7 linked regions of the Macaca fascicularis genome follow. The protein of the gene in region 7 purifies or fractionates together with the protein of the main gene of each other region. This does not show direct contact. Links are inferred from orthologs where the notes say so. Each region holds a gene or a part of one and is shown on either strand. Other genes may lie near its edges. The genes, in order: FKBP4, SMYD2, AAR2, EGLN1, PPP5C, DYRK1B and PTGES3.

What was found.
Region 1: the proteins of PTGES3 (region 7) and FKBP4 purify together in Homo sapiens (affinity purification with mass spectrometry; 3 studies listed by BioGRID and IntAct, with this or other methods). This does not show direct contact. The link is inferred for Macaca fascicularis from reciprocal best matches to the Homo sapiens genes PTGES3 and FKBP4.
Region 2: the proteins of PTGES3 (region 7) and SMYD2 purify together in Homo sapiens (affinity purification with mass spectrometry; 3 studies listed by BioGRID and IntAct, with this or other methods). This does not show direct contact. The link is inferred for Macaca fascicularis from reciprocal best matches to the Homo sapiens genes PTGES3 and SMYD2.
Region 3: the proteins of PTGES3 (region 7) and AAR2 purify together in Homo sapiens (affinity purification with mass spectrometry; 3 studies listed by BioGRID and IntAct, with this or other methods). This does not show direct contact. The link is inferred for Macaca fascicularis from reciprocal best matches to the Homo sapiens genes PTGES3 and AAR2.
Region 4: the proteins of PTGES3 (region 7) and EGLN1 purify together in Homo sapiens (affinity purification with mass spectrometry; 5 studies listed by BioGRID and IntAct, with this or other methods). This does not show direct contact. The link is inferred for Macaca fascicularis from reciprocal best matches to the Homo sapiens genes PTGES3 and EGLN1.
Region 5: the proteins of PTGES3 (region 7) and PPP5C purify together in Homo sapiens (affinity purification with mass spectrometry; 5 studies listed by BioGRID and IntAct, with this or other methods). This does not show direct contact. The link is inferred for Macaca fascicularis from reciprocal best matches to the Homo sapiens genes PTGES3 and PPP5C.
Region 6: the proteins of PTGES3 (region 7) and DYRK1B purify together in Homo sapiens (affinity purification with mass spectrometry; 3 studies listed by BioGRID and IntAct, with this or other methods). This does not show direct contact. The link is inferred for Macaca fascicularis from reciprocal best matches to the Homo sapiens genes PTGES3 and DYRK1B.

The regions. Positions count from the first base shown.
Region 1 is NC_088385.1:3,664,903-3,669,545, reverse strand, and holds the start of FKBP4 (peptidyl-prolyl cis-trans isomerase FKBP4), read right to left. Parts: upstream 2,931-4,643; 5' UTR 2,787-2,930; coding exon 2,682-2,786; intron 783-2,681; coding exon 638-782; intron 197-637; coding exon 54-196; intron 1-53. UniProt on the Homo sapiens protein: Immunophilin protein with PPIase and co-chaperone activities. Component of steroid receptors heterocomplexes through interaction with heat-shock protein 90 (HSP90).
Region 2 is NC_088375.1:72,064,949-72,069,440, forward strand, and holds the start of SMYD2 (N-lysine methyltransferase SMYD2), read left to right. Parts: upstream 1-1,628; 5' UTR 1,629-1,950; coding exon 1,951-2,123; intron 2,124-4,492. UniProt on the Homo sapiens protein: Protein-lysine N-methyltransferase that methylates both histones and non-histone proteins, including p53/TP53 and RB1. Specifically trimethylates histone H3 'Lys-4' (H3K4me3) in vivo. The activity requires interaction with HSP90alpha.
Region 3 is NC_088384.1:92,328,431-92,332,445, reverse strand, and holds part of AAR2 (protein AAR2 homolog), read right to left. Parts: intron 1,830-4,015; coding exon 1,600-1,829; intron 1-1,599. UniProt on the Homo sapiens protein: Component of the U5 snRNP complex that is required for spliceosome assembly and for pre-mRNA splicing.
Region 4 is NC_088375.1:17,716,212-17,720,226, reverse strand, and holds part of EGLN1 (egl nine homolog 1), read right to left. Parts: intron 2,835-4,015; coding exon 2,715-2,834; intron 1-2,714. UniProt on the Homo sapiens protein: Cellular oxygen sensor that catalyzes, under normoxic conditions, the post-translational formation of 4-hydroxyproline in hypoxia-inducible factor (HIF) alpha proteins.
Region 5 is NC_088393.1:54,378,750-54,383,363, reverse strand, and holds the start of PPP5C (serine/threonine-protein phosphatase 5), read right to left. Parts: upstream 2,973-4,614; 5' UTR 2,963-2,972; coding exon 2,842-2,962; intron 1-2,841. UniProt on the Homo sapiens protein: Serine/threonine-protein phosphatase that dephosphorylates a myriad of proteins involved in different signaling pathways including the kinases CSNK1E, ASK1/MAP3K5, PRKDC and RAF1, the nuclear receptors NR3C1, PPARG, ESR1 and ESR2, SMAD proteins and TAU/MAPT.
Region 6 is NC_088393.1:46,950,249-46,953,531, forward strand, and holds part of DYRK1B (dual specificity tyrosine-phosphorylation-regulated kinase 1B), read right to left. Parts: coding exon 3,226-3,283; intron 3,126-3,225; coding exon 2,937-3,125; intron 2,588-2,936; coding exon 2,440-2,587; intron 1,169-2,439; coding exon 882-1,168; intron 241-881; coding exon 94-240; intron 10-93; coding exon 1-9.
Region 7 is NC_088385.1:63,494,818-63,499,375, reverse strand, and holds the start of PTGES3 (prostaglandin E synthase 3), read left to right. Parts: upstream 1-1,651; 5' UTR 1,652-1,946; coding exon of another isoform or gene 1,947-1,948; intron 1,949-2,199; exon of another isoform or gene 2,200-2,255; intron 2,256-2,531; 5' UTR 2,532-2,705; coding exon 2,706-2,719; intron 2,720-4,558. UniProt on the Homo sapiens protein: Cytosolic prostaglandin synthase that catalyzes the oxidoreduction of prostaglandin endoperoxide H2 (PGH2) to prostaglandin E2 (PGE2).

The sequences.
Region 1 (4,643 bases), about 60 Mb from region 7:
TGGGCTGAGATAAGGCCTGGCTCTTAGCCTGATGTCAGTGGCCGGACACTCACCTCAAATACAAGCGTGGCACTGGGGGGAATCTTTGGAGGACTGCCTGCTGAACCGTAGGCATATTCTGGTTTGCAGGTGATGTGGCACACCTCCCCCACCTTCATGGTTGCTATGGCAATGTCCCAAGCCTTGATGACCTCCCCTGCAGGTACAGAGGCAAACAGGACCACTTTAGCAGGGTTCTGATTCTGGGCTCAAACAGTGCTTCTGAAGAGTTAATGCACCACACTCATGGGGAAGCTGAACATCCTTTAGAAATGGGACCAGAAGGTGAGATACCTGGTTGCATTAAGTGCTACCAGGTCTAAGAACTGTAAAAGATCACCTGACCCTGAACAAAAGAGTTTAAGATGCAAGACAGTCCACCTTTGAAGGGGGAGTAAGGTGTTGGGAGGTGATGAGGAGAAGGGGAGACAAAGATCAGTATAGTTACAGAACGGTAGAAAAAAAAAGAGTGACCGAAAGAGTTAACAGACTGTGATAAACCATTCCTCCCTGAGCTTGGTCCTGAGAAAATGGTTTCAGCTTGTGACAGCTTGTGTCCACCTCGAACCTATCCTACCAGCCCACTGACCACGCCTACCTTTTCCCAGGTCAAAGGAGAATTTGTCCTTGCGATCCAGACTGGAGTCAAACTTTGTGCCATCTAATAGCCAGCCAGTATAGTGGACAAAGACTCGGTCCCCAATCATGGGCATCTCTGTACCTGTGCCCTCTCTCTTGATGACCTGGGAGGAAGGGGGAGAAAGTGAGTAACCCAGGGTTTGGGGCCAAAAGGGGCACCAACACTGCCTGCAAGCCTCCAGAGGGAACATGAAGGGGCTTCTCTGGGTTCATCCTCCTCTGCCTACTTGTCCCTCCAGATTCAGCTACTAGCAACTTGACTTAGGAGTCAACTAACCTCCCTGTCTTTCTTCAGGTACAGCAAGACTTGGTTTGAAAAAGGAGACAAAAGGCTGAGAGATTTGAGTTCAAGTTTCCGCTGTATGGGTAAGTTTTAAAAATTCTCCACACCTTATTTGTAAAGCAGTGATGATAATCCCTATCTCCTACAGTTTGTTGGAAGATTAGACCAGTAAAGGGTTGAATAATAGATTATTATTATCATCGACAAAGGGGGAAGTATTTATGCCACACTTCCTCCTTCTTCCTTCATGCCAGTGGTCATCAGATTAAGGTCTGGTTTGGAGACAGGAGAACGAGAGGAGTATGAGTGAAGAGAACAGAAACAGTTCAAAACAGGTAAGGAAGAAACCAGGTTATAAGTGAACCCAGAGGCTCTCCATGGGACCTTAAACTCTGACTTGGGAGCGGAGTATTCCTCACTGGTAGGCTGTTTAAGACCAGGGCTGGAGTTATTTCCCAGAAACGCACAGGTTCCTTTAGCGCCACCTGGTAGGTGTGTGGTTACCCTCTAAGGGAAAGCTTCCATGGAGAATGGACAGGGTCTTGGAGGAGTAGAAAGGTAAAAGGGAAGGAATGGCGGATCAAAGGGGAAATGACCCTTCCCGGAATAACAATCTCATAGAAAACAGCAGGACGCTGGAGCGAGAAGGGGAAGCCACATGCCACAGGAGAGCCGCTGGAGCAGACGCTCGAGGTCCCCAATAATCTGGTGCAAAGACAGATGCACTTCTGGACCAGCTAAAGGCCCCCTGAGGCGGGTGCCACACACGCGGAGCTCAGCGGTGGGAAGCCAGGATGAGGAGGAGCAGCGGATGGGGAGAAGGCATAAGACGCGGGCTGGGAATTCCTCTCCGGACTCTCCCCGGAACCTGCTCCGACCCATGGCAGGTTGTCCTGGCCCAGGTCAAGATGCCCTCCCCACAGCTCCCCAGGCTATTTGTAGTCGAGCGGTCACTCGGCGGCAGGCTCCACAGCAGAGCGCCTCCTCTCCGCCCCACACCCCGCAGTCCCGGCTCGGGGAGGCGGCGGGGGGGAGGGGACTACAGCTCCCGGCATGCCCCGCGCCCGGCCTCCCCGGGGCCGAGGGAGGGGGCGCCGCGCGCGGCGAGTGGGGACCACGCTGGGTCCCGGCGTCGCCAGGGGACCCCGGGAGGGCGCCGGAACCCTGTCGCGCCTGCGTCGCACAAAGGCCGCCGGGCCAGGAAAGCACTGTGGGGAGTCGCTCCCCGTCCTGGCCCGTGTTCCACCGCCCGGGTGGGCGAGCCCTGGCACCGCGACTAACGAGGCGGCCCCCGCGGCTGGCAGCTCCGCTGGGGCCGCGGGGGTCGGGGGCGGCGTGGCGCGGGAGGCCCGGCCTGGCCCCGGGCTGCGGCTCGCGTGCCCGCGGCGGTCGCCCCGCCCCTCTCCGCCGCCCCGCGCGCGCCGGGGTGGGCACTGCAATCCCGACCCCCTGCCCCGGCCCGGGCGCTGGGGACTGGGGAGCCTGGGGCCTCGGCCCGCGCACCTAGGCCGCCCCTCTGCTGAGCGCATGGTCGGCCTCGGTGCCTCAAACGACGCAGCCCGGTACCGGACGGCGATGCCACCGGCCCCCGGCAGGACGGCCGCGAGGCTGCAGAGGCGGCCGCCTCGACCCGTGCCCGGCCGCGGGCTCCGGGCTCGGCGGAAGGGCGGCCCGCAGGGCCCCAGGTTCGGCCGCCCCCGCAGGCCCCGCCGCCCCTCACCTTCAGCACGCCTTCGTCCTGTTTGGGGCTGATGTCCACTCCCTCAATGGGCAGCGGCGCCGACTGCGCCCCGCTCTCGGCCGCCTTCATCTCCTCGGCTGTCATCTCCGCGCGGCGCGCCGTTTCTCCGGGAGCTGGCACCGGCGCGAGCGCACCCTGGGCCGCTGGCGGGGGCGCTACCTGCGGCGCGTGCGGGAGGCCGGGCGCGGCGGCACTGACTGCGGACCGCGAGGAGGCTCGAGCACCTCTGCACGCGGCGCGGGAGCGGGGGTAGGTGGGTCAGGAGCCGCTCCGGGAGCGATTGGTCCCGCCCCGCCGCGAGGGAGGGGCTGGGAGGAGCGGGAGCACGGACAGAGGGGGCGGGGTGCAGAACTTTCTAGAGACGGCGGGACTGAGCCGGTTCGGGCTGAGTGCTGCGGGCGCTTCAGAATCTTTTTTCTTTTTTTTTCTGGTTCTTGCCTCCTTCTGGCTGCCTGCCCCCTCCCCCTTCTCCGGGGACCCTCGGACTCTGGGGAGTCTCCCCAGCGGCCTCCCCTGGCCCTTCCTCCCTCCCTCCCATCCCCGTCCGCTTCCCTGTCTAACCGGATTCTTCCAGATTCTTCTCGATCGATCTCCCGACATCACTCCACCAGTCCGCTGCGCCTGCGGCGATGTGTGGGGAGCGCGGGCGGCGGGATGGCAGTGGCGGCGCCCCCTCCCCGGGACGGGCCGTCACCACGGGCGGCGTGGTCTCTCCGCTATGACCCGCGTAGACCCTTCCCTACCTGGGGGAAAGAGGGTGAGGGCGTCCGGGGAGGGGGGAGTGAGCGGACAACGCTGCCCCGCTGCAGAGAGCCGGGGAAAGCGACCTCGATTTCCCCAGAGCCGGGAAGCCCGGGTCACGCAGCGGTGCCTACCCCGGCGCCTGCAGATGCTGCGAGCAGCGGGGTTGGCGAGGCATGGCCCGCCCAGCTCGGAACTCAGACGGGGCGCGCACTCAGGGGACCCTTCCCGGCGGTAATACAGCTGCCGTTTCTGCGAATGCTTACACACGTGGGTGCCCCTCACGAGAAAAGTCACTCGGTTTTCCAGAAGGAGTCTTTTCCTCTCAATGTTTGTTTCCCGAGTGGTTTTCGACAGCCTGTGGAGCGCGCAACTGCCCGTGTCACCTAAGCCATGGTCGTGGGACCTACAAAGCCATCTAGAGAGGGGCCTGGTTTTGGTCAGCACCTAACCCCAGTTTAGCATAGTGCCTGGTGAGTGGTGTCCAATAGTTACTGGCTGCATGAATTTTCCTTTTTTAAATTAACTTTTCCAAGTCTTGGCTAACTTTTTTTCTTTCTTTTTTTTTTTTTTTTTTTTTTTTGAGACAGGGTCTCGCTCTGTCTCCCAGGTTGCAGTGCAGTGGTGCGATCTTGGCTCTCTGTAGCTGGGACGACAGGCGTCCACCACCGCACCCACTAATTTTTGTATTTTAGTTTCGCCATGTTGCCCAGGCTGGTCTCGAACTTCTGGTCTCAAATGATCCGCCCGACTCGGCCTTCCAAAGTGCTCGGATTACAGGCGTGAGCCACTGCGCCCAGCGTGAATTTTTATTCCAATAATAATTATATTTTTGGACTTCCCGTTATGTGCCCGGCACTGTGCCGTTGTACGCCATTGTCTCATCAAACTAAATTGAAAGCTTTTTAGAGATGAACTTTCAGCATCGTAATGTGATGATTTATTGTAGTCCCTGCCGAGGGAACTTGAAAGGGATGCAAAAGAAACAGCCCTTCGCTCAGCGATTTACAGTACAAATTGAGCCCTACCGACATCTCTTTAGGTGACTGGAGACAACTTCAGAGGATTCGGGGCGGGGGGCGCTGCCTCTGTAGGGGTTCAATCCATTACTTTTCTGCAGAAGTAACAGTGCCAGGGGCCACCCAAACTCCGGGAGACGAGGATGGTGGGTGCTCGCTTCCGGGGTAGCAGTTTACCGCA
Region 2 (4,492 bases), on a different chromosome or scaffold from region 7:
GGACCTAGGACTACGTTTTGTACATCTTTCTTATTATTTTTTTTTTTGAGACAGAGTTTCGCTCTCATTGCCCAGGTTGGAGTGTAATGGTGCGATCTTGGCTCACTGCAACCTCCGCCTCCCGGGTTCAAGTGATTCTCCTGCCTCAGCCTCCAGAGTAGCTGGGATTACAGGCATGCGCCACCACGCCTGGCTAATTTCGTATTTTTAGTAGTGATGGGGTTCCTCCATGTTGGTCAGGCTGGTCTTGAACTCCCAACCTCGGGTGATCTGCCCGCCTCAGCCTCCCAAAGTGCTGGGATTACAGGCGTGAGCCACCACAGCTGGCCGATTTTGTCCATCTTTCTATCCCAGTGGCTGGTCATAGTCCATGTTTCTTAAAATGCATAAATAAAAATACTATCATAATGTCCTTTACTTGAAGAGCGGTTACAAGCTTATTTAGTTGGTCACTAGTAAGGACTTTTTTGTTTTCTTTTGAGACAAGGTCTTGCTCTGTCACCCAGGCTGGAGTATGATGGAGTCATCACAGCTCACTGCAGCCTTGACTTCCCAGGCTCAAGCAATCCTCCTACCTCAGCACCACTTGAGAGGTGGTTAATTTCCCATAGAGATGGGGTCTTTATGTTGCCCAAGCTGGTCTCCAACTCTCCAATTCCTGGGCTCAAGTGATCCTCCCACCTTGGCCTCCCACAGCGTTGGGATTACAGGGCTGAGTCACTACACCCAGCTGAGAAAGCTGTTTTACTGAAATGCCAAAAATTCCACTGATTTTACATCTCCAATCATATTCATCCTTTCCCCTTGCTAAACCAGTCCTGAACTTACAGAGGTAACTGTTTGAGGTTCTAGTTTGAAGTAGTATTTTCTGCTAAATGATCTCGTCACAATTTTAGTCTTTACTGCATGTACGTCAATTCCAGTCTTTACATAATCATGTGGAACACGGATTATATTTTCCTTTCTCATATGAAAAGTAATAGCGTGCATGTGTACAGGATTTACGTTTCAGGCTTTGTGGGCTTTAAATCCTCTGACTCCTAACCCAAGTGACTTTTCTAAGATCACAGTTGGTGGGTGGTCAAGCATATTAAAACCACTGCAAACTCTAGCGCAGTGTCCTGGACACTGGCCACAGCATCGCATTATCCCCCAACAGCCTAAATTCCTTGAAGGCAAGGTTATCTCTGGCTTCCTCTGCATCGTTCGCAGCATGCAGAGACTCGGTGAGCTGGGCTGGCCAGTGCATTTCCTCTTCCGTCAATGTAATTCTACTAGAGGAGCAGAGGGCAAACTACGTTCCCATTAAAGCCACAAGGTTTAAAAACCTCTAACCTTGGAAAAGTACACGTCAACCCTCTGCACAGCAAAATTCTCTACTGTGGTTTCCCCTCTGCCGCTTTCTCCTTGGCGTTCCCGATCACTGCCTTCAGGGGTCTTTACAAGGGCAAGTGAACGTAGGGTTTGGGGGCCGGCTTCGCCCCCTTCTATTTACCGGGTGCTGGTGGTCATCCTTCGGGCCAGGCTGACTGTCTAGGGGTGGCCCTGGGATACCTGCTCCGCGCAGGTGACCCCCCTCCCACCGAGGAGGGCGCGTCCCGCTTGCTCCGTGGAGACGCCGCGGAGGCGCACACGCCTCACGCCCTCCTCGCAGAAGCCACAGGGGCTGCGGCTCTTTGTCGCGGCCACACCGGAAACGGCCCGGAGCGCGCGCGGGGCGGCCGCCGAGGGTCCCGGCGCAGGGCGGGGCCGCCGGGCCCGTCCCCCTCCCCGCGGGGGCGCGCGAGGCCCGGGCGGGGCCGCCGTCCCTTCCGGGGAGCAGGGAGCCGCCGCCGTGTCCGCCGGGCGGCTCCCACCCCGCCCCCCGCAGCTCTGGGTGACGCGTCTCCAATAACAGCTCGCCAGGAGCCGCAGCTCGGGCACAGCCGGCGCCCGCGCCCCGCCGCCACCATGAGGGCCGAGGGCCTCGGCGGCCTGGAGCGCTTCTGCAGCCCGGGCAAGGGCCGGGGGCTGCGGGCTCTGCAGCCCTTCCAGGTGGGGGACTTGCTGTTCTCCTGCCCGGCCTATGCCTACGTGCTCACGGTCAACGAGCGGGGCAACCACTGCGAGTACTGCTTCGCCAGGTAGGGCGGCGGCGGCGGGCGGGAGCCGGGGGCGCCGAGCGGGAGGCTTGGATCGCGGCGCCAGGAAGTGCGTGCGGCTCGCGGGGTCCTAGCGCCGGCCTCTAGGGCGGGGTGGGAGGCGGGGAGGGGAGGAGGCCCCGCGCTGAAGCCTCACGCCGGGCACCACGTGCGAGAGGAAACAGGACCGGTGCCCACTGCACGCCCTGCGCTGCACGTTTTCAGTTGCTCACGCAGGATGCGCAAACTCGGGAGTGCAGGTTCCTGCCTTCAAATGTGAGCTCCGAGCCAGGCTTGTTCCAAGCCTGGGCACTCACTGCCCTCCCGGTGCATTGGCAGTGGAGCCCCAAATTTGGGCAGCCACGGGCTGTCACCTTTAACTTATACTTCCTGCGGTGTATGCTGCTCCCCACAGGCCAGCCCTGCTTCAAATTGGCTGTTTCTTCCAAGGAATTTAATGACTTAGTATATGTCTTGTAAAGTACGTTTACGTGTTAAAGTACGCTTACATGGGTGTTTGGAGGGACGCCAGTGAGCACTGACCACACGCCCTGGATTCTGAGGCGCTGCAACGATGAGTTGCAGTGTCCAGTTTTGGTTTGGAAATAGGAAGACATGGTCGCAGTAAGGGATTGGGCAAGATGTGTGGTTGCTAACGGTATTTAATTGCAAGATACCATATGTATATATGTGCCTGTGTTTGTATATATGATGCATATACATTGGCACACACCAACACATATAATTATATCCTCAACTCTTATGAGAGTTTCAGAGCTGAAAGGCACATCAGAAATCACCAATTCGATCCTGTTTTTCACTTAATAGATGAGAAAACTAAAGCCCAGAGAGAAAGTGGGGTTACCTTTATCCATTCACACCAGTAGTGAAGGGAGTGAAATCTGGCCTCATTCACTTCTGCCTGTTTCTCACTGGTTAGGTGCTCAGTAAATTGACTAAGGCAGGAGGCATGGCTTTGGGGTTAAGTTTATATCAGGCCTTCCAGTACTCTGAGTAGAGACCGTGTTTTGCTTTCTTTGAACCTCAGTTTCTTCATCTTTGAAATGGAGATTCCTGGGCTGGATTAAGCTGACCTGCAGTCCTGCAGGGACCTTTTGAGTACAGGTCTCAGGTCCAGCATACTCAATCTCTCAGACCTGTGTGCCTTATTCTACAATAAGACGTAGCAAAAGAAGGGACAAAGGCTAAATATTGTAGTAATCTTGCCCAGACTCCCTGCCAGAACTGTCTTCCGCTTGGGGGGACCTGGAAAGGAACTAGACACGGAATCATGCCGTGGGCAGCTTAAGGGCTGTATGTGATGTGGCTCTTTGAATTGGTGAGCCAAGAGCTAAAGGGTCATGGCACCACTTTGCAACGTTTGAGTGAAGTGAGCATTGGGTTTTCCCAAAGTTAAAAAGGCTGCTGTGACTGGTCCCTTGATCTTCTGAGCCTTGCTGTGGCTCGGAGTCTGCAGCAGCGTGGGTGTCTGCAGTGGCAGGAGCAAAGCAGGTCAGGCAGCACCGAAGGAGCCTCCATCAGGGATCCTGGCAATTCCTGGAAGCCATCACCTAAGACCATGGATGCCAGGCACATAGTAGGTGCTTACTTTATATGGGTAGTTGCCGTTCCTGGCCCCCAGTGAATGAAAGATCAAATCCCTCTGGGTTTAGAAGGGATTAGAAGAACTGAGAGATGCTTCTGTTTAGCCGTAAGTCTCCTAATTGTTTCTACTACACATACTCCCAACCTTAGAACATTAGTGGATAGTGAGATGCAACTTCACAAAGCATTCAGCCTGGATTATTCTGCCATATGTGACAGTTTGCTGCCTTTTTTGTTACTGCATTTTTCTGATTGACATTTATTAGTGTTATTCACTGTTGCCTTGGGTCCCTCACCAGGGCTGCAACTTGCAATGGCGTGTTATTACGACTTGCAAACCCCTTCTCTGTTTGATTTCCCTGAACTTCTGTCAATACCCATAGTTTATTTCCTTTCTGTTTCCCCAAAGAATTTTTTGAAATCAATTAAAATAATACAGAAGAAATGACAGCCATGATACTTACGCAATTAGAAATATCTGTGTACCCTACTTTATGATTTCTATGAAATCTGAATCGTTTAGTATTAGTGGTTAGATCATCTGATAGATTCAGCATCAGTTTCTCTGTCAACAATTCGTATATGACCTAGGACAAATCAGTCTGTCCAGATGTATGAGAGGAACGTGTGTTTTCCTCCATAGGGCCTCAAAGTATTGGAGTAGAATTCTGCAAATGTTCATACATACAGGTCAAAATCTGCTGCCTGCCTCAGCCCCACACACCCAAAAGAAAACTACCCCTTATCCTTTCTTTTGCCGGAAGTTT
Region 3 (4,015 bases), on a different chromosome or scaffold from region 7:
CCAGTACCTTTGGGGAAAATTTTCCCCACAGAGGAAGGACAAACGGGTTTAATTTCTCTGTTACATGAACAACCAGTAAAAGGACAGTTTTATAGCTCTTCTGAGTGGAACAGACCAGGCTCAAACCATGCGCTTGACTGACTCATTGCCATGGTTTACACAGGTCCTTCAACTGCCAGCTTTAACTCAGATGCTTGCTCACAGGGACTCGTCCAACAGTAGGTTGGCTTTAGAAAAGCGTTCTGTACCTCTGAGAAACAGGACCTCGATGAAGTCTTCACTGATATCAATCAATAATCCTTTCTAGGGGATTCACTGTATTCACTACACAAGGGCATAAGCACAGGCAGGAAACCAAGACTCAGGCCTGGGTACAAATCCTGACCTCCATCTGCCAGCTGTATGACTTCAAGTAAATGATTTAACCGTTCTCAGTGTTCTCATTTGTAAAGTGGGAATAATACCTCCATCTTACAGGGTTCCAAAGGGATTCAATGAGTGAACAGGGTCTCACTCTGTTGCCCAGGCTGGAGTGCAGTGGCACGATCACGATCATTGCTCACTATAGCCTCAAACTCCTGGGCTAAGTGATCCTCCTGTCTCAGCCTCCCAAGTAGCTAGGACTACAGGTATGCATGACCATACCTAGCCATTTTTAAAATTTTTGTAGAGATGGGGTCTCACTATATTGCCCAAGCTGGTCTTTAATTCCTGGGCTCAAGTGATCCTCCTGCCTTCACCTCCCAAAGTGTTGGGATTACAACCATGAACCACCACACCCAGCCCCAACATTTAATGAATATTCATCCCTTCTGTTACCCTGAGTGGGATTGGAAGGTTGGTGAAAAGCTGCCTTATATGGAGCAGGCCTCATAGGGGTACTACACACAGAGAGAAGAAAGAAGCTCATGGGAGGGAAAGTATGGAAACTGATAGTTGGCAGCTTCTGCCTCTTCTATTCTTGAGAAAGTTACACAATGTGAGTGACAGAGGCTGTCCCAAGTACATAAAGGAAACTAATCTGTTTGCAAAGGGAGGAAATAGCATAGGATGAAGATTGTAAGTTGTTTGAAGCTTCTTTCCTAATTACCACTCATAATGAAAATTTAATTGCCAAGTTAAAAGCAAATTTCACTTTTTCTGTCATAGAATCTCTGCAGAAACTGGCACATTTTGTTTGAACAGGAAATCAAAGTTATTTTAATGCTTAAATGAGATCTAAGGAGCTGCAGATGTTTCACTGGGAATAAAAAACTTCAAAACTTTGCTTTACTGGGTTGTAGCAATTCATGGCTACAGGGAGAAAGAAAAGCTGTTTTAAGCTGAGTAAACCAAAGCAGTGGAAGGAATTCAAATCCAAGTACCCCACTGTACTTAGGCACACTGGGGATGAGGTATAGGGTGAGCGTGGTACAGAGAGAAAATTTCTGGCATAGAAACACAATTGAGTAAGAGAGAGAAAACCAGGAAATATCCCAAGACTAGGAAACTGAAATATAAACATTTTTGGGTCATGGAAGAATAGCAAGAAACAAAACACATACTGTTGCCTCAATTCTGACCCACATCTGCATCAGCTCAGTCAGAAAGACTGCTCACCTGTAAGGTGCTGGTGAGGAAGTTGTCTTGGGAGACAATGTCTACAAAGAAGTCAGCGGGGATCTCACCAAGCTGGTGGTACAGGATGGAGATGAGGTTGATGTAGAGAGTGTGGTGCTTCACCATGGCTGCTTCTGACCGGCACAGGAGGTTCAGGAGCCGCTTCCAATGCTCAAATGCCTCATACACATTCCCCAGCAGGAAGCACACAAAAGCAAACTGGAGTTCACCTGAAAGGTGCAGAGAGGAGAAGTGATTCTGAGGGAGAGGAGAACCAGATGACACTCTCCATCACTGTTCACAAGGCCATCAATTCCACTGGACCTCAGCAACAGATTACTTTTTATCCTTGTCACTCCTGCAGAGCCTGGCATGGGATTTTGCACCTAACAGGTACTCAACAAATGTTTGCTGAACCGCTATGAATTCAAGCCATGGGAAACCAACCTGTGGCTTTGGATTTCTGTAAAGTCAGACTGCAAGAGAAGAAGTATTCCCAGTATTTGCCTGGCATTTTAAGTTTACAAAATGTGTTCATGGATATTATGCCAAGTGGCTCTCAAACCTGGCTGCCCATCAGAATCACTGAGAGTCTGTTAAAAGTAAAGCTACCCAAGCTTCCCCCTCAGAGGTTCTGGTTGAGGAGAGATGATGGGGCCTTCATATCTGTAGCTCTGACAAGCTCCCCAGGGGATTCTGATGCGGATGGTCTGCTCCAGGGTCACAGAAATACTGCACTACACCATGTAACCCTCAGCCCAACTCCACAGGCGATCAGGAAGGTGGTATTTGCCTCATTTTACAGATGAGGTCAAGGGCTTGCCCAAGGCCGCACTTCAATGCTTCACAATGTGGGCAATGGAAAGATAAAACAGATTCTCTATTGGGTGGGAACAGTTCTAGGACCTCCCACCAGAGAAAAATTCCTGAGTACTTATTCCAGGGTCAGCATGCCAGCCAGATTATTTTTTGTTTGCTTAATCACAGGGCTCCGTGATTTAATCTCTATGAGCAGCTTGGTGGCTAAGAGCATGGGCTCTGGAGCCAAACTGCCTAGATTCAAATCTTAGCTCTGCCACTTAGCAGCTGTGTGACCTTGGGCAAGTTACTCAATCTATTAAGACCTGGATTTCCTTATTTGAGGGTTGCAGCAAAGATTAAATGAATGGATACAGTACACGTAAAGCATTTAGAATAACACCTGGCACAAAGTAGCACTCAAAAAATATTATGTTCCCAATTTCTATCAGATGCCCATCTCAAACAAAGAGACCTGATGATCCAGACACCACTGTCCCTGGGCAAGTAACGGGGTCTCTGGAAGTTACTGTAGAATTACTGCCACTCATCACAGGCATTCTCTCTACTTCAAAGGTGGCTGGAAATTTAATGAGGTATATGTCCATGTGGGCCATAAAAAGAAGAGATGCACTCAACACCAAATACCTCTTTAAATGCATAGTGTTTGATCTCTGCCACTTCCAGAGACCTGGAAAAACTAGCTCCCTGTCCTAAGCATATGGAACTAAGTTTGATGTATGTGAATAGCTACCTGGTTGAGATATTTTGGATCTCTGACCAGTATTTTCAAATACAGTCAAATTTTCTTTGTGTAATATACGTTAATGATTTGCTTCTTCAGCTGGCTTTACTTGGTTTGTGAAACTAAATATTAGCCTATTCTTTGCATTTAGGACATTTATTTAAATTTGTGCATTTCTGACCTTGTCTAAAATTTAATTATGACATCAAAAATAATTTCAAAGAGCTGTGATGTAGATTCAAAATTATCCCTGGACAGGTGTGGTGGCAGGGATAGTCCTAGCCCTTTGAGAGGTCAATGGAGGAGGATTGCTTGAGTTCAGGAGTTTGAGACAAGCTTGGGCAACACAGGGAGACCCTATCTCTACCAAAAATAATTAGCTGGGCGTGGTGGCACACACCTGTGGTCCCAGCTACTTAGGAGGCTGAGGTGGGAGATCACTTGAGCCCAGGAGGTTGAAGCTGCAGTGAGCTGTGATCATGCCACTGCACTCCAGCCCATGTCACCAAGTGAGGCCCTGTCTCAAAAAAAAAAAAAAAAAAAAAAAAAAACAACCCAACAAAGTTATTCCTGTAACAGACTTTTTCACAAGATATATTTTGAAGAATTGAAATGTTTAAGAGGTAGAAAGACAGGATTTCTATTCATTTTTAAGCCAGACTTTCAAAAGTTACTTATTACATGAAAATACTAATGCATGAAGATATACCTGTTAAAATATACGTTATATCATCAGCTGACCCAATGATATAAAAAGTCCTGTCTAGGCACAGTAATCCCAGCACTTTGGGAAGCCAAGGCAGGAGGATCGCTTGGGCCCAAGAGGTTGAGGTGGCAGTAAGACATGATTGTGTGACTGTACTCCAGCCTGGG
Region 4 (4,015 bases), on a different chromosome or scaffold from region 7:
TGAAACACAAGAATGTTATCTGAATTTAAAAGTCTTAAAATGATGCTTGAAAGTTTTTTAAACTACTAAACATTTATTTATGCTAATGATATGTTTAACCTACTCTTGAAATAGACTTCAAGAAATTTTGAAAAAATTATTATTAGAAATAGATTATGTCAAATAAAGAGTTTACCATACTTTAAATTTCAATAAACAACAGGATAGTCACAGATACCTCTCATTTAAATAATTCAGTATATCAGTAGAAAGTGTCATCATTTATTATGACCATCATTATTGTCATCATCACCATCACCATCAGCATGTAGTCCATTAGAACCTGTGGCTCTCCCTTTCAAGATTGGGCTTGATGCATCACCTGCTTGTGAAACTTGATTCTATCCATAAAGGATTATTATTTACCTAAACACCAACTAGGCATCAAATCACAGTGGGAACTGTGGTGGACTCTGGGTGCAGAGTAGGGAATAATGCAGACAGACTTTGTCCTTGTGGTGTTTAAGATCTGGGGCTAGGCAAAACTCAACCAACCAAGTAGTTCCTTACTCTTGAATAACTACACTCCGAAGCAGGTAGACTCTTAAAATTGAAAGAAACTCTAACACCTGGTCAGGACAGCATGGACTTTGAGCCTAAGCCTAGAATCTATAGTTAAAGCTTTATCAGGCTCACCATCAGGTAAGTTAAATTCTAGCTACTTTGATACCCCTGCCAACCTCCTCAGGTTCCAGTGTTGTTCCGAGTGATTCCCCAGGCTACTATGCAAATATCTGAAGAACCTCCAAACTGAGAACATGTTTTCTTTCCTTTTTTCCTGCTCCCTTCCCTTTGACTCAAGTCACTGGGAGTACCACAGGTGACCTGCTGAAAATGTTTTAAGAGAAATGGCTACTTGACACATCCACTCTTCTTCCTCTGAATTAGGTGGCCCTCCTGTGTGCTCTCATAGCAATCTGTCTTGACACTTTGCATAACTATCTGTAACTGTCAATCTTTCTGATCTGTATCCTCCAATAGATCCTAAGCTCTGCCAGGGCTAATTCCATTTCTGCTATATCCCTAGCATCCAGAACATCTGGCACACTACATATTCAGTGCAATCTTGCAACGGAAAACTTCTATTCCACATATAAAAACACTAGGGATGTTTTTCTGCCTATGTCCTAATTTAAAACCTACATATTAATGACCCTAAGTCTTATAGAAATTGTAAGATCAGCCTAGAAAAAGCCTAACAAAATCTAGAAGTTAGAAGTTGATGAAACACAGTTCTAGCTTTCTAGCTATTCACAAAATCTGAAAAAAAGTCAATTTTTAAATTTTAACTAAAGTTACACCAATCTGTTTTGCGCCTTGAGCTCAAATTCAACTACAAAATTTATTTCTCTACTTCAAACTTTGAAAGCTGTAACAGAAAAACCATGCTTGTTGACATAATGCCTCAATATATACTTAGCAGAAAGTTTAGTTCCATTCTGAACCTGGACTAGGGCAGAGAAAACTCTTCAAATCAGTGTGTGTTTTAAAAAGATTACTGGAGCACTGTGAGCATATTCTAAACTTAAAACACTTTTTAGGGTAGGATTAGGTTTTTGTACATTTAAGACTCAGGCAGTTTCCATGTGTGTGTTTTGGGGGATGCAGAGAAAGAGGTGTTTTAAAGGTTATTTGACCTTTACACCTGGCTACACAAGTATGTTCACTTTGTGAAAATCCACTGAACTATACACAAGCCACTTTTCTATTTGAATATTTTACTTAAGATTTTAAAAAATCAACCAAAAAATTAGTCTGTACAGTCTCTACTGTAGTAATACATGACATATTTTAAAAAATCATTTAAATTTAATGAGACTCACGCTAATATTAAGAAAATATATATTTAAAACAAGAGAGATTAAATATACTGTACATTCTAATTGATTTTACAGGGCTTGTCAGTACTGATAAAATTCCAGTTTTTTAATAATCAGGGAAAGACTGAATCCTGCCTCCAATATTCAATTAAACAACTCAATGCCATACAATATTTTTACAAAAATGCAAAGAATAACATAGCAAATAATCCTTATTTCCTTAACAATTATCTATAATCTCCCCCAAAGCCATTATAAAACAACTGTTCTCAGAAGTGTTTGTCTAAAAACTATTAAAAGGAAAATATTTTAATAAAGGTCACTTTTCTAAAAAAGTTAGATTTTAGATAAATGCTCTAATATCTGAAAACAAATGAATCCACTTTTAAAGATTGATCAGTACTTTTTTATATGGTTTTATTGAGTTATAACTGATATACAAAAATGCCTATCTTTAACATTTACGATTTGATGAGTTTGGATGTATATGCACACCCCCGTGACACACCACAACCAAGATAATAAACATATCCATCACCTCTCAAAGTTTGTTTCCCTTCCCTTAACCTCGTGTGTGTGTGTGCGCGCGCGTGTGTGTGTGTTTAGAACACTGAACATGGAATCTCCTCTCTTAAATGTTTAAGTGCACAACACTACATTGTTAACTACAGGTATTATGTTGTATAACTTAAGACTAGTATTTGTTTCATTTTACAAAAATCCACTCCTAATACCTGAGACTGAAACAAACTTAAGAGGAAAATTTTTAACTGTGTCTGTGACAGTCTCACCTATCAGAAGTATGAACGTAATGCTTTTGTAAGAAAAAAATAAATGCTCAATTAAGTCGCATACCTTGGCATCCCAGTCTTTATTAAGATAATATATACATGTCACACATCTTCCATCTCCATTTGGATTATCAACATGACGTACATAACCCGTTCCATTGCCCGGATAACAAGCAACCATGGCCTGTAATGATAATAATGATGATGATTATTAAAGTCCACATATAAATAAAAAGAGAGAACAGCTAATAAATCAGATCTCTGATTTTTGGCTACTGATTCACACTTAAGATTCTTCTAATAAAAATAATATTTTGTAGGTAAGAAAGATAAGGCTATTCTACATTAATATTTATGGGGAACACAAGATAGGCTGATGAACAATTCAAGGACTGGTGAATTCTGCTTCACAGTGGTAACTCCAAAGATCAGAAAATTTTCATGGTCCTACTTTCACAGTCATATAAATATAGATAATCAAGATCAAGTGAGTTTTTGTCCTGCTCCATGGGAGACTTCTCTCTTCCCTGAGCTCACCTAAGAACACCTACTTTACCATCTGACAGGTGAACCAACCCAGTCAAACACCCCACCTGACATTGTCTCTGAATGGTACCAATGTTGTTTTGTTTTTTTTTTTGAGACAGGGTCTGGCTCTGTTGTTGAGGTTGGAGTGCAGTGGTGCAATCATGGCTCACTGTGGCCTCAACCTCCTGGGCTCAGGTGATTCTTCCACCTCAGCCTCCTAAGTAGCTAGGACTACAAGCACGTGTCACCAGGCTGGTTAATTTTTGTATTTTTTTTGTAGAGATGGGGTCTTACTATGTTGTAATAGGGATCATTTAGGTCAACTCAACTCCAAACATTAATTCATTTAATGTCAGTGATTTTTTTTTTTAAAAAGACTAAACAAATTAGCTTATGTAAGTTTACCCTCTTTGAACCAGAAAGAAAATTATTTGCTCAGATTATAACAAGATACGGTTCAGAAGATTGCTGGATGTTAAGCATAAAGGCAGAAAAGAGGCCCGAAATAAAAAGCACAAAAAAACTTCCATATTCTAGGTGTACATGATAATCAACTGAAATTGGTAAAGGAATTTTTAAAAAGTTCTCAGGAATTATGAAGAAAACAGACAAAGACGTTCAAGGTTATGAACTATTCTTGTTTTTGTTTGTTTTTTTTTACGGAGTCTTGTTCTGTCGCCCAGGCTGGAGTGCAGTGGCATGATCTCAGCTCAATGCCTCCGCCTCCCAGGTTCAAGCAATTCTCCTGCCTCAGCTTCCTGAATAGCTGGGATTACAGATGCATGCTGCCATGCCCGGCTACTTTTTGTATTTTTAGTAGATACAGGGATTCACCAT
Region 5 (4,614 bases), on a different chromosome or scaffold from region 7:
GCACAAACCTGACCGTGTCCTTTCCCTACTCAGAACCTCCCAGGGCTCCCCAGAGCCCCATCCCCCCACCACCCCACCCCAGAAAGCCCTGCCTCCTTCCCACAGCCCTGCGCAATCTGCTCCCCGCAGCTTCATCGTAACCTCCTCCAGCCTCCTACTCACGGCCTCCATGCCAGGTTCCGCTCACCTTTGGGCCTTTGCCACCTGTTTTTTTTTTTTTTCTGCCTGGAGTACCGTCTACCCTCTCTCCAGGCAGCCACTCTCACTTCCTCTCTGAAACACTTCTTGAATCTATTTCTGTCCCTCCAGCCTGGTTGGCGATCACCACCCCTCACCTGTCCACTAATCTAGCCTCCTTCCTGTCTTACCCTGGAGTCCAGTCTCTGCATGGCAGCCAGGGATCTTTTCTGAATGGTAACTGAACCACGGCACCCCACTCTTGAAACATCCCATGGCATCGACCACCCTCAGGATGACACCCACATTCCCCAATCTGACTTCCAAGGTTCTACCTCTGGCCTCATCTCTCACTGGTCCTACCTCCCTCTCATGGCTCCCACCAGATCAAACTTCTCCATACTTTGCTTCTGCTCCTGCTGGAGGCCAACTCTTTTCCAGGGGTCCAGATCCTTTCCACCTCCACCTTCTCCAGGGTTTTGCTGCTGCAAGTCTCCCCTCTCACATGCAGAATCAATTCTCCATCTCTACTGGACTCTACTCTCTTCCATCCTTACAAAAAATCCATCTTCCCCTGACACTGCATGTTGTTTTTTTTTTTTTTTTTCTGTCTGTTGCCCAGTCTAGAATGCAGTGACGTGATCTTGGTTCACTGCAGCCTCTGCCTCCCAGGTTCAAGCGATTCTCCTGCCTCAGCCTCCCCAGTAGCTGGGACTACAGGTGTGTGCCACCACACCCGACTAATTTTTTAGTAGAGACGACGTTTCACCATGTTGGCCAGGCTGCTCTTGAACTCCTGCGCACGTTCACTTCTTACCACCCTCCCCCATTTCTCCACTCTTCTTCAGAACCAATACTCCTAACACTTAACATTTGCTCTCTCCACTCCCTCCCTTCCCATTCACTCTTCAGCGCCCTCTTGGCTGCACCAGCCCCGTCATTCCCCAACAACTGCTCCTGTCAACATCACCATCAGCATCCACGGAGCCAAAGCCAATGGCCAGTGCTCGCCTTGGCAGCATCGGACTCAGGGCACCAGCTCCTTGTTCTATAAGCGCTCTCTTCTCTCCGCCTTCCCGACACCTTTCCTGGCTTCCTTTCCACCTCACTAAGCGGTCCTCCTTAGCCTCCCCCTCTTCCACTCGGGATCTGTCCTAAGTCCCCTCTCTAGACCCTCTTACTAGATTATCTCATCCATTCCCAACCATAGTTTGATCACACCCAAATTCTTCTCCAGTCCAGACTGTGCCATTTACTTACTCAGTGTGTCCTCCTGTAGGGCCAGGAGTGGTGGCTCACGCCTGTAATCCCACCACTTTGAGAGGCTGAGGTGGGCGGATCACCTGTGGTCAGGGTTTCGAGACCAGCCTGGCCAACACAGCGAAACCCCGTCTCCACTAAAAATACAAAAATTAGGTGGGCATGGTGGTGTGCATGCGCATCTATAATCCCAGCCACTCGGGAGGCTGACGCAGGAGAATCACTTGAACCAGGGAGGCGGACGTTGCAGTGAGCTGAGATTGCGCCATTGCACTCTGGCCTGGGCAACACGAGTGAAACTCCGTCTCAAAAAAAAAAAAAAATTCCAAACTGCTCTTTGCAATGACTCGGGGAGACCCTGCATGATCTGCCCTCTGTCCTAATCTCATCTTGCTATTGGTCTCCCGCTAACTAGCAAAAGCCCCAGCCATGCCAGTGTCCTTTCATTCCCCACCCCAGGGCCTTTGCACAGGCTGCCTTAACTCCCTGGAACACTCCTCTCCAGTTCTTCCTCTGTGAGTTTCAGCTTAAATGCTTCCTGCTCAGTAAGGCCTTCCCCCACTACCCTATCTAAAGTAGCCTCCAACCCTTATTCTCTACTTCATCACGCTGCTGGTTTGCTTTCAAAGCACTCATCACAATTTAAGTATTTTACTTATTTACATGTTTTTTTTTTTTTCACGTCTGGTTCACCTGCAAAATTACAAGCTAAGGACAGGACCACATCTCTCTCCTTCACTGCTATATCCCTAGAGTCAAGCACAGTCCTTGGCACATAACAGGTACTCAATAAATATTTGTTGAATTAATGAATGAATGGGTGCCCCACACTTGACTCTTTCTCAATATTCTAAGTGACACTATTCTTGGGGATCCCCACCCCTACTCCCAAGGCCCCCACCATCACATTCCTTTTCCTCGGTCAGCCCAAATCTCCTACTTCCTTGTTCCGCCCATCTAATGATCCATTCCCCACCCCCACGATTGCCGCCTCTATTGGGACTGTCCCTCCTCTACTCCCCAGTTGGCGGCACCCACCCCAGGACTCCCCACTTGGTAGCGCCATCACTCACTCCCCCACCACATGTCACTGCCTGGTAGCGCCCTCTACAGGCCTCACGTTTGGTAGCGCCCTCATTCCAGTCCCCCTCTCGCCCCACAATTGGTGACGCCCTCCTCAGTCTCTCCACTGAGTAGCACCCGCTCCGCACGCCACTCCTATGTATCACTCTCCGAAGCCCCCTATGTCGCCCCTTGGTAGCGCCATCCTGGGCCTCCCCACGCCCAGTCACTTGGTAGTGCCTGCCCCGCGCCCAGACTGCAGCTCCGCGTTGCCATGGTTCCGCGCGGGCCCGGCACCCTCGGCCTGAGCCGCTGTCCACCCTCCCTGCTAGGCGGGCGCACCTTTGAAGTAGTCATTGGCCTGAGTCTTGAGCTCCTCTGCCCGCTTCAGAGCGCCATCAGCCGGGTGCTCGTCCCGGGGGGGCTCAGCACACTCAGTCCGCTCGCCCTCCGCCATCGCCATGCCGCAAAGCGACCCCTACCCTGGCAACGGCCGCCAGCGGCACCCGGCCGAACCGTCGCGAAGGAGCGCCGGGTGGCCGCCGCCGCTGCCGCACAAGTGTCGTAAAGCGCGGGCCCTGAAGGGGCCCTTCACGCGCCTGCGCAGGTCCCTCTCGCCATAGAGCGCGCGGAGGACAAGGTGACCAGAGGGTCCCCGGACGGTACCCCTGGTAGAGAGAACCAATAGGGAATGAGAGAAGGGGCGCGCGGGGAAACAGAGCTGGTGTGGCCTCTGCTCCCAAAGTTACCGTGTTCCAAGGCTGTAAAAAGTTTCTCGGTTCTTAAAGTGGGATTTCCCTGCTGTCCTCTAGGGTTGGGGGGTGGGTTGTGAATGTCGCTGGCGGGTGTGGCTGCTTTGCAAGGCAGCGCCATGCCCTACGCGGAGCCGGACCCGGGCGTCGAGCCCTATTGTCAGCTACCTGTGTGACCTTGAACAAATCTTCCCTTCCTCTCTAGGGCCTCAGTTACCCATCTCTGAAAAATGGGTGGCTTCTCAAGCCAAAAAAGGTCCAACCCTGAGGGTGTTTCTGAGTTTTTAAATGAAGGCACTCTGGATTTCAAGTCCTGAGCAAGGCTCAGAAGTGTGTTGCACCATCCCCTTTCTTCCTGTGTTCAGCTTCCCAAATCCTGAATCTTCAAATAAACTCTCCTGTTTGCCTTTTTACAGATTCTCTTGTCTGAGATCACAGCGTTGATTGCATGCACTCTGCCTCCCTCATTTACCCTTCACATGGCAGCTAGAGGTTTGGTTTTGTTTTATTTTGTTTTGTTTTGAGAGGGAGTCTCCCTCTGTCGACCAGGCTGGAGTGCAGTGGCGCAATCTAGGCGCACTGCAACCTCTGCCTCCCGGGGTTCAAGCGATTCTCCTGCCTCAGCCTCCCGAGTAGCTGGGATTACAGGTGCCTGCCACCACGCCCGGTTAATTTTTGTATTTTAATAGAAACGGGGTTTCACCACGTTGGCCAGGCTGGCCTCACTGCCGACTTCAAGCTATCTGCCCACCTCGGCCTCTCAAAGTGCTGGGATTACAAGAGTGAGCCACTGCACCTGGCCGAGGGATCTTTCTAAGACATAATAAAACCATGGCACACCCTCACTCCCAGCCTTCCATGGCCCCAGCACCCTTAGGAGAAAACCCAAACTCCTGATTAGGAGACCCTGAATAGTCTAACCTCAGGCTGAATAGTCTAATCTCCAGATTCCACCCCTTCCCCAACCCCCATCTGCCGTACACCCTTCCAGTCTGTCCTTTCTAAGCCCTCAGGTAGCACTAAGTCCTGTAAGGCTCTGGTTACCCTCCTGGAAGCACACTCCCAAACCTATCTATTCCACTCCCAAACCTCTTGTTAGTCCATCCCCATCTCTCCCACTGCCCCCAGCACAACCAACAATCACCCTAAAGGGCAGATATTAGTATCATCCCCATTTTACAGATAAAGACACAGACTTGCAGAGGTGTTTGACCAAGGTCACAACAACATAAGAAGGTGACAGAGCCAGGATCAGGAATCCTATCTACTTCCTGTGTCCTTCATTGCCACTCTACTGCCTCTGTAGGTGCCAGAGCCCATCTTGGTGGCTTAGTAAATGTTTCTTTTTTGTGTTCTTTGTTCG
Region 6 (3,283 bases), on a different chromosome or scaffold from region 7:
CTGGTCCACCTGTGAGCAGGCGGGAGTCAGGGTCATCAGGCCAGCCAGGCTCCACCCCCTCCACCTCCAGCACACCCCTTCCTGGGGGCACACCTCATTGGAGCCACTGAAGAGGGGCTCTCCGGTGTGCATCTCCACAAGGATGCAGCCCAGGGACCACATGTCAATGGCCAGGTCGTAGGGTGTGCCCAGGAGCACCTCAGGCGAGCGGTAGAAGCGGCTCTGGATATACTGGTAGATCTGGGAAAAGGGTCATCGTCAAGGGTCCCAGCCTCCTCTACTGGTCCCACTGACACCCCCAAAGCTAAGAGGACCCAACTAAGGACAAGCCTCTTGCTGACAAAATGGGGACTGAGGCTCCAAATCCTGCCATTATCAGCACCAGTTTTCTGGGAGCCACTGGTGCCATCTTGTTTATCAATCTGGGGAGCCTGCTGGCCTAAAGAGACCCTGATCTCCACCCCCAACCCCGATCCTGGGCCTTTCTGGGTCACCAGGCAGAGGCTGACATTCCACCAGCCCTATACTATTGTCATTTTTAGTGGCACCTCACACAGAGTTGCAAAGTTGAAGCCTTCCACCTCCCTCCCCGGCTTTAAGAACACAAAACACAAAAACTTAGTAAAGCAGCACCCAGGGCTCAAACCCAACCCAACTTTACCCTGTTCACATCTGGCAGCTTCAAAACGAGCCCTGCCCCCTCAGGCTTCACCCTCCCCATCCTAGTGGGCAGTACATCCACACCCCCACCCCAAGCACTATCCTTCACTTCCAGCAGTTCCTAATAATCCCATCCCAGCCAAGCCCCGCCCCTAAGCCTCCTGTTGGCCCTGCCTCACCCAAACCACTAGCCCTGCTCCCAGGACCGGGCTGCCCCGTACCCTCTGGCCAAGCTGGCAGGAACTGCCGAAGTCCACGATCTTGATGGCGCTGCGCTTGGGGTTGCAGAGCAAGATGTTTTCGGGCTTGAGGTCGCAGTGAATGATGCTGAGCTCAGGCGTGGCCAGAAAGAGCAGTGCCGTGCAGAGCTGCTGCGCCAGCTTCCGGGTCAGGTTCAGCGAGACGCCGCGGAAGTGGGTGTTGCGCAGGAGGTCGTACAGGTTGTAGGACAGCAGCTCGAACACCAGGCACAGGTGGTTCCGGAACATGAAGTGCCGCTTCAGGTGCACTGCGAGGGAGGGGAGAAAATGGGCCAGAGAAAAAATGGCTCAGAGAGGGCAGGTGGTGGCCTGGGGTCATACAACACTCTTTGATCACTAGCCACATGTGCTGTGCCCACGGGTACCATCTGCTAGTCAAGATCTTTTTATCTAACAAACAACTAGGTTCACACAGGAAGTTAACGCTCTTTCCAAGTCTCTGTCAAACCCTCCAATTAAACAAACGAGAAAGTTTCATTAGTTACTACTAGCTCTAACACATTCTACACTTCCTCCTTTAATTTCGTAACACTGCTTTCATCTCCCTTGTATTCATTTTTGTGGCAAAGGACACTAGTTTTCCATCTACTTTAAGGATGTACATTTTCCTTTCAAACGAAACCATTTTAAAATCCACTTGCTGTTTATGATTATGTTGTGATGTTTATGTCCATTAAGAGGAATCAGTTTAAGGGAGAAGAAAGACTGGCACAGATGTTAAGAGTAACACCTCTGGAGTCCACGGCCTCATCAAATTATAGCTCAATTAGTACAAACTGCCCCCTCATGCAAGTGACAGCACTTGAATCCCTGGGTTTCTTTTTTCCTTTCTTCGTTTTTGTTGTTATTATTGTTTGGTTTTTTGTTTGTTTGTTTTTTAAGATAGAGTCTCGCTCTGTCACCAGGCTGGAGTGCAATGGCATGGTCTTGGCTCATTGCAACCTCCACCTCTAAGGTTCAAGCGATTCTCCTGCCTCAGCCTCCCGAGTAGCTGGGACTACAGGCGCGTGCCACCACATCAAGCTAATTTTTTCATATTTTTAGTAGAGACAGGGTTTCACCATGTTGGCCAGGATAGTCTCCAACTCTTGACCTCATGATCCACCCACCTCGGCCTCCCAAAGTGCTGGGATTACAGGCGTGAGCCACGCACCCAGCCCATTTTTTTTGTTTTTGTTTGTTTTATTGAAGAAGAAACTAGGATGGAAGCCCGGGTTTCGTTTCTTCAAGATGTTGGTAATAATCCCCTTATGGGCTGTGGTGAGTTAACTTACATAAAGTGCTTCCAAGACAGCCTGGCCGTTGGTGAGCACTCAGTAACCTCTGACCACTACCAAGTAAATAGGACAAAAACCATAAAAGCAGCAGGAGAATCACTGATGTCAGTGAAGCACAGATCAAACCCTGCTCTGAAGATGTCAGCCTCCTCCTGAGGGTGGGGCAGGGGTGTGACCCATCCCTACTGGCTCCAGCTCCCGCTATCCCAGGTGCCCACAGCCCTGCCAGTCCCGGGCCTCACCTATGTAGTACTTCATCTCGGTGTCATGCTGGTTCATCAGCTCCAGCAGCCGCAGCTCAATCTGGGCCTGGTTCAGGAAGGCCTTTTTGTTCTTGATGATCTTGATGGCCACAAGCTCCTGGGTCTGATGGTCATAGGCTTTCACCACCTGTTGGGGCAGGGCATGTCAAGAAGAAAGGGGTGGGGGCAGGGCAGAGCCAGGCACCATTCTCCTCCCTCCAGGCAAGGAGGCCCACCGAGAACATTATGCATACTTCGCAGTTGAGTGCACACCATTAGTCAGGCACTGGTGGAAACGCTGGACGTGAAATAACATACCACCTTATGTTGAGTCTTGTTATTTAAACTGTTTTACAGAAAAGGCAACTGAGGCACAGGGAAACTAAGTGGGCTAGGGTGAGTGGCCCAGCATGGGATTTGAAGCCACTGAACCACTGGGTATGTGGTCAATGTTAGTGGGGCCTTGGATCAGGGTGGGAGAGGGGGGTGTCCCACACCTGGCCAAAGGAGCCTTTGCCAATGAGCGAGTCAATCTCATAGCGCTCCAGCCAGCGCTCGCCACTGCGCACGATGTAGTCATGGTTGTCGTCATCATAACCATGGTTCAGGACCTTCTTCTCCTTCTTGGTGCTCGAATCCTGGGGTGGCACCTGCTGGGCCCGCCGCTTCTTCTTCGCATAGTATACCTGCCCAGCCAGCCAGGCAGGAGATGGGGACTGGTGAGTGACTCATGCCAGCAGCCAAGACCCTCGGCACCCAGCCCAGGATCCCCCAGCCCCTGCCCACCTCATTGATGTGCTTGTAGGTCTTGATGAGGTCCACAGAGAGCTTACGCAGCGGGGCT
Region 7 (4,558 bases):
GCTGGATGGATCTCGGCTCACTGCAAGCTCCGCCTCCCGGGTTCCCGCCATTCTCCTGCCTCAGCCTCCCGAGTAGCTGGGACTACAGGCGCCCGCCACCTCGCCCGGCTAATTTTTTGTATTTTTAGTAGACGGGGTTTCACTGTGTTAGCCAGGATGGTCTCGATTTCCTGACCTCGTGATCCGCCCATCTCGGCCTCCCAAAGTGCTGGGATTACAGGCTTGAGCCACCGCGCCCGGCCCTAATTTTTGTATTTTTAGTAGAGATGGGGTTTCACCACGTTGGCCAGTCTGGTCTCAAACTCCTGACCTCGTGATCCGCCTGCCTCGGCCTCCCAAGGTGCTGGGATTACAGGCGTGAGCCACCGCGCCAGGCCAACTTCCCTTTTTTTTTTTTTTTTGATACAGGGTCTCACTCTGTCGCCCAGGTTAGAGTGCTCCCTGCAACGTCCACCTCCTGGGTTCGAGCTATCCTCCCGCCTCATACTCCCTAGTATTTGGCATTACAGGCGCGTGCCACCACGCCCTGCTAATTAGTAATTTCAGTAGAGATGGGGTTTCACCATGTTGGGCAGGTGAAACTCCTGACCTCAGGTGATCCGCCCACCTCAAGCTTCCCAAAGTACTGGGATTACAGGCGTGAGCTATGGGCGCCCGGTCCAAAATGGCATTTGAGCTAGGGTCCAGTTTTCGTAGCTCCCACTACCTGTCGTGCACAACATAGACACTAAATACCTTATTGCTTATTATGAAGCCCCGTTCTTCAGAAACGTTTTATAGCACTTTCGTTAAACCTCCTTCCTGTTCATAATGCAGTGCACTAGAGTATTTTTCCCATACTCCACCGTTAAGTGGCCTCTTGGTAAGCAGGACTGTTTTGGGTCTCTTGGTTACTATCCCCTAATACACCCTATTAGTGTGTTGCACGAAGCGACGGGGAACCCGTTCTCCCCCAAATGATGTGCGTGGAGACACCCAATGTCCTAGCCTCTCCATTCCCAGAAACCTAAGACTCTCCCACCAAATATCCTTCCTGTCTCATCTACAGCACTGAGGTCTCAAGGTAGGGGCAAAAGCCCGCCCCAAATGGCAAATGCTCCTCCTCCGCCAAGAACCTCCAATTTCCGCTGTCCCTAGACAGAGCCTCCAACCTTCAGAAAAATGGCGAGGTAGACCCAGGCCCTTGATTCTGAAGTGAGCCCTTTTCCACAGCACAGCCTTTCACAGGTTTTTGTGGTGGAATGATTCCTCAGTGAACTGATTTACTCCCTCAAGAGTAACCAACGCTCCATTTTAGTTCTATAGGATCCCGACTCCGTGTCCCTCCGCCTCGGCCTTGCCTCCCACTGCCAACGCAGCCGTTTCTCAGAGAAATCGCCCAAGGCGCATGGCCGGGCAGTTGGGACACCAACGGTTTTCTAACGCGAGAGGACAGCGAGGGAGGAGAGGCGGGAACGCGTAGCGACTAGCAGGGGGCGGGGTGGGGGTGGGGTGGCGGACGAAGGGCGGGGCCGACGCCAGGAAGGATCGCGAAGGAGCTGGGAAGCCCCGCCCTTTCCGTAGATATCTCTAGAAAGCCGCGCCGGACCCCGAAAACAAGGACTGCGCACGCGCGGCGGTAAGGCCCGGGCATTTTGCTGCGTCACCAGCCGCCGCCCGGCCTCACCACCCCTCGTTTGCACGCACGCACGTTCATTCTCCGTCCTCGCGCCCGTTTTCCTACACTTTCCTCTTCTCCCCGACCGGAGGAGCCGCTCTTTCCGCGCGGTGCATTCTGGGGACCGAGGTCGAGCCCGCCGCTGCCGCCGTCGCCTGAGGGAAGCGAGAAGAGGCCGCGACCGGGGAGAAAACGCGGAGTCGCCACTGGAGAGAAGTCGACTCCCTAGCAGCAGCCACCGCCAGAGAGGCCCGCCCACCCGTTCGCCCGTCCCCCTGCCCCGTTCACAATGTGAGTGCGACACCCCGCCGAGGGAAGGTCGCCCAGAGTGAGGCCGAGGCCGCGTTGGGGGCTCCCTGGAAGCGGCCCTTGCCCTCCCTCTGCTTTTGGCCCCATAGCCTTTCTCGCATCGGTGGTGGCAGTCGTTCCTGCCTGGGGGCGGGAGGTCCAGGATCCTTGTTCCGGTTACCGTTGGCGGGTGGAGGACATTTTTCCTCCAGATGTCTGCTTCCCCCACCCCTGAAACGTCCCTTGGCTTCCCTATACCGGAAATCCTACTTTTTCCCTCTTTGGCTGTCTGGGCTACTGGCTTCCTTAGGTAACTTCACCTTAGGCCTTAAGCTCCCCGGAGCTGCTCGCCATGCGGCGCCGTGAAGCGTGAACCCTCGTGGGTCGCCTCGGCTGCTTGGGCGCTCCGGTTCTGCTGCTTTGTGGTCCCCGGGCCAGGCCCTGAGTCGAGTGCACCTGTGGTGGGTGCTGCCAGGTGCCTGGCGGAGCTCCTGGGAGAGCCCCACGCGGGCCTAGCCGTGAGCGGCAGGTACTGCTAGGCAACTAGAGTGAAGCCATGCCCACGCCGCAACATACTTCTCTCCAGTGTCTGGGTTTCTTGAGTGTGGGTTCTTGAAGTCCGCCTCGTAACTCCAGTCTCTTGAAAACACGGGAGGTTGCCAAAACTCAGCCGCTTCCCTGGCAGCGAGGAGGAGTTACCGTTGAGCAGGTAGTTCTGCACGTGTCTGCTTTGGAAAGACACGGACATTTTCTGTGTTCCATGTTAAACCTGAGGTGAGGTTTCACTATCCTGTAACTGTGGGATGAAATATGTATGTAATAGGCGTGTAATTAACCTACTGTTGTCCTAAAGAGTTTAAATTTGTGTTGAGATTCTATGGTAGTCTTCATTTTATGATGATAAAGGAAACCTCGGCGATTTTAACCGAGTAAGAATTCTTGGCACTGCCACGTACAGTGGGAACTGCCGGTTTTACAGGGTTTTGTTTTAGTTTTTGGTTTTTTTTTGACGGGAGGTTATTTTTTAAGGTACTAACTGCGTCCTAAAAGGTATGGAGAGCAATTAAGGGGGAACCTTTTTTTAAAAAATATTCCATTCAGAAGAGAGATGAGAGGGAGTGACTTTGTGGAAAAGTAAGAAGGGTTTGCTTGATTCAAAGTCATGATACTGACGGCTAGAAATCTAAAGGAATGAGTGAGGGATACACTGAAGCGAAGTTTATCACTGGAAACAAGCTTCTAGAGCACAGCATGTTAGAATTTTTGAGGGAGCCCCCTCCCCGAGAGTGATACGTAATCGGGGTTTTTAAAAGTTTGAATCAGACTGGGCGCGGTGGCTCACACCTGTAATCCCAGCACTTTAAGAGGCCGAGGTGGGCGGATCACCTGAGGTCGGGAGTTCGAGACCAGCCTGACCAACATGGAGAAACCCCGTCGCTACAAAAATACAAAAAATTAGCCGGGCGTGGTGGCACATGCCTGTAATCCCAGCTACTCGGGAGGCTGAGGTAGGAGAATCGTTTGAAACAGGGAGGCAGAGGTTGCGGTGAGCCGAGATCTTGCCATTGCACTCCAGCCTGGACAACAAGAGTAAAACTCCGTCTCAAAAAAAAAAAGTATATAAAATAGCTTTTGTTTTTCCCTTTGAAATCTCTCATAAGTAATGTAGAAGGGACATCAGTCTTAACCTTTCATACTCTGAAAATCTGTAAGGGAAAATTTTTGTCAGATAAGGCATTAAGCAGCTTTTAATAATAGAGCCAAACAACATATCTTTTCGTGAAAAATGTTTAAAATGGGCTCGAAGTAGAAGCACTTTCTGGAGGGCACATGAGATATCTAAATAGGTAAGGAACGGCTAAGTTAGGAAAGTAAATTTAAAAACTTGGGTGAAAAGTGTAAGGCCAGGCGCGGTGGCTCACGCCTGTAATCCCAATACTTGGGAGGCTGAGGCAGGTGGATCACGAGGTCAGGAGTTAGAGACCAGCTTGGCCAATATGGTGAAACCCCGTTTCTACTAAAAATACAAAAACTAGCCGGGCGTGGTGGTGCACTCCTGTAGTCCCAGCTATTCGGGAGGCTGAGGCAGGAGAATCGCTTGAACCCAGGAGTCGAAGGTTTTAGTGAGCCGAGATTGCGCCACTGTACTCCAGCCTGGGCAATAGAGGGAGACTCCGTCTCAAAAAAAGTAAGTGTAGCAGTAGAGAGACAATTCCAAAAAGCAGCCTCTCTAGTTAAAAAAAAAAAAAAAAAATGGTACCTTCATGCCGGGCGCGGGGGCTCACGCCTGTAATCCCAGCACTTTGGGAGGCCAATGCGGGCGGATCACGAGGTCGTGAGATCAAGACCATCCTGGCTAACACGGTGAAACCCCGTCTTTACTAAAAATACAAAAAATTAGTCAGGCGTGGTCGCAGGCGCCTGTGGTCCCAGTTGCTGGAAGCCTGAGGCAGGAGAATGGCGTGAACCCGAGAGGTGGAGCTTGCAGGGAGGATCGCGCCTCTGCACTCCAGCCTGGGCCACACAGTGAGACTGTCTCAAAAAAAAAAAAAAAAAAAAAAGCTACCTTTAAAACGAGTGATGCGGCCGGGCGCGGTGGCTCACGCCTGTAAT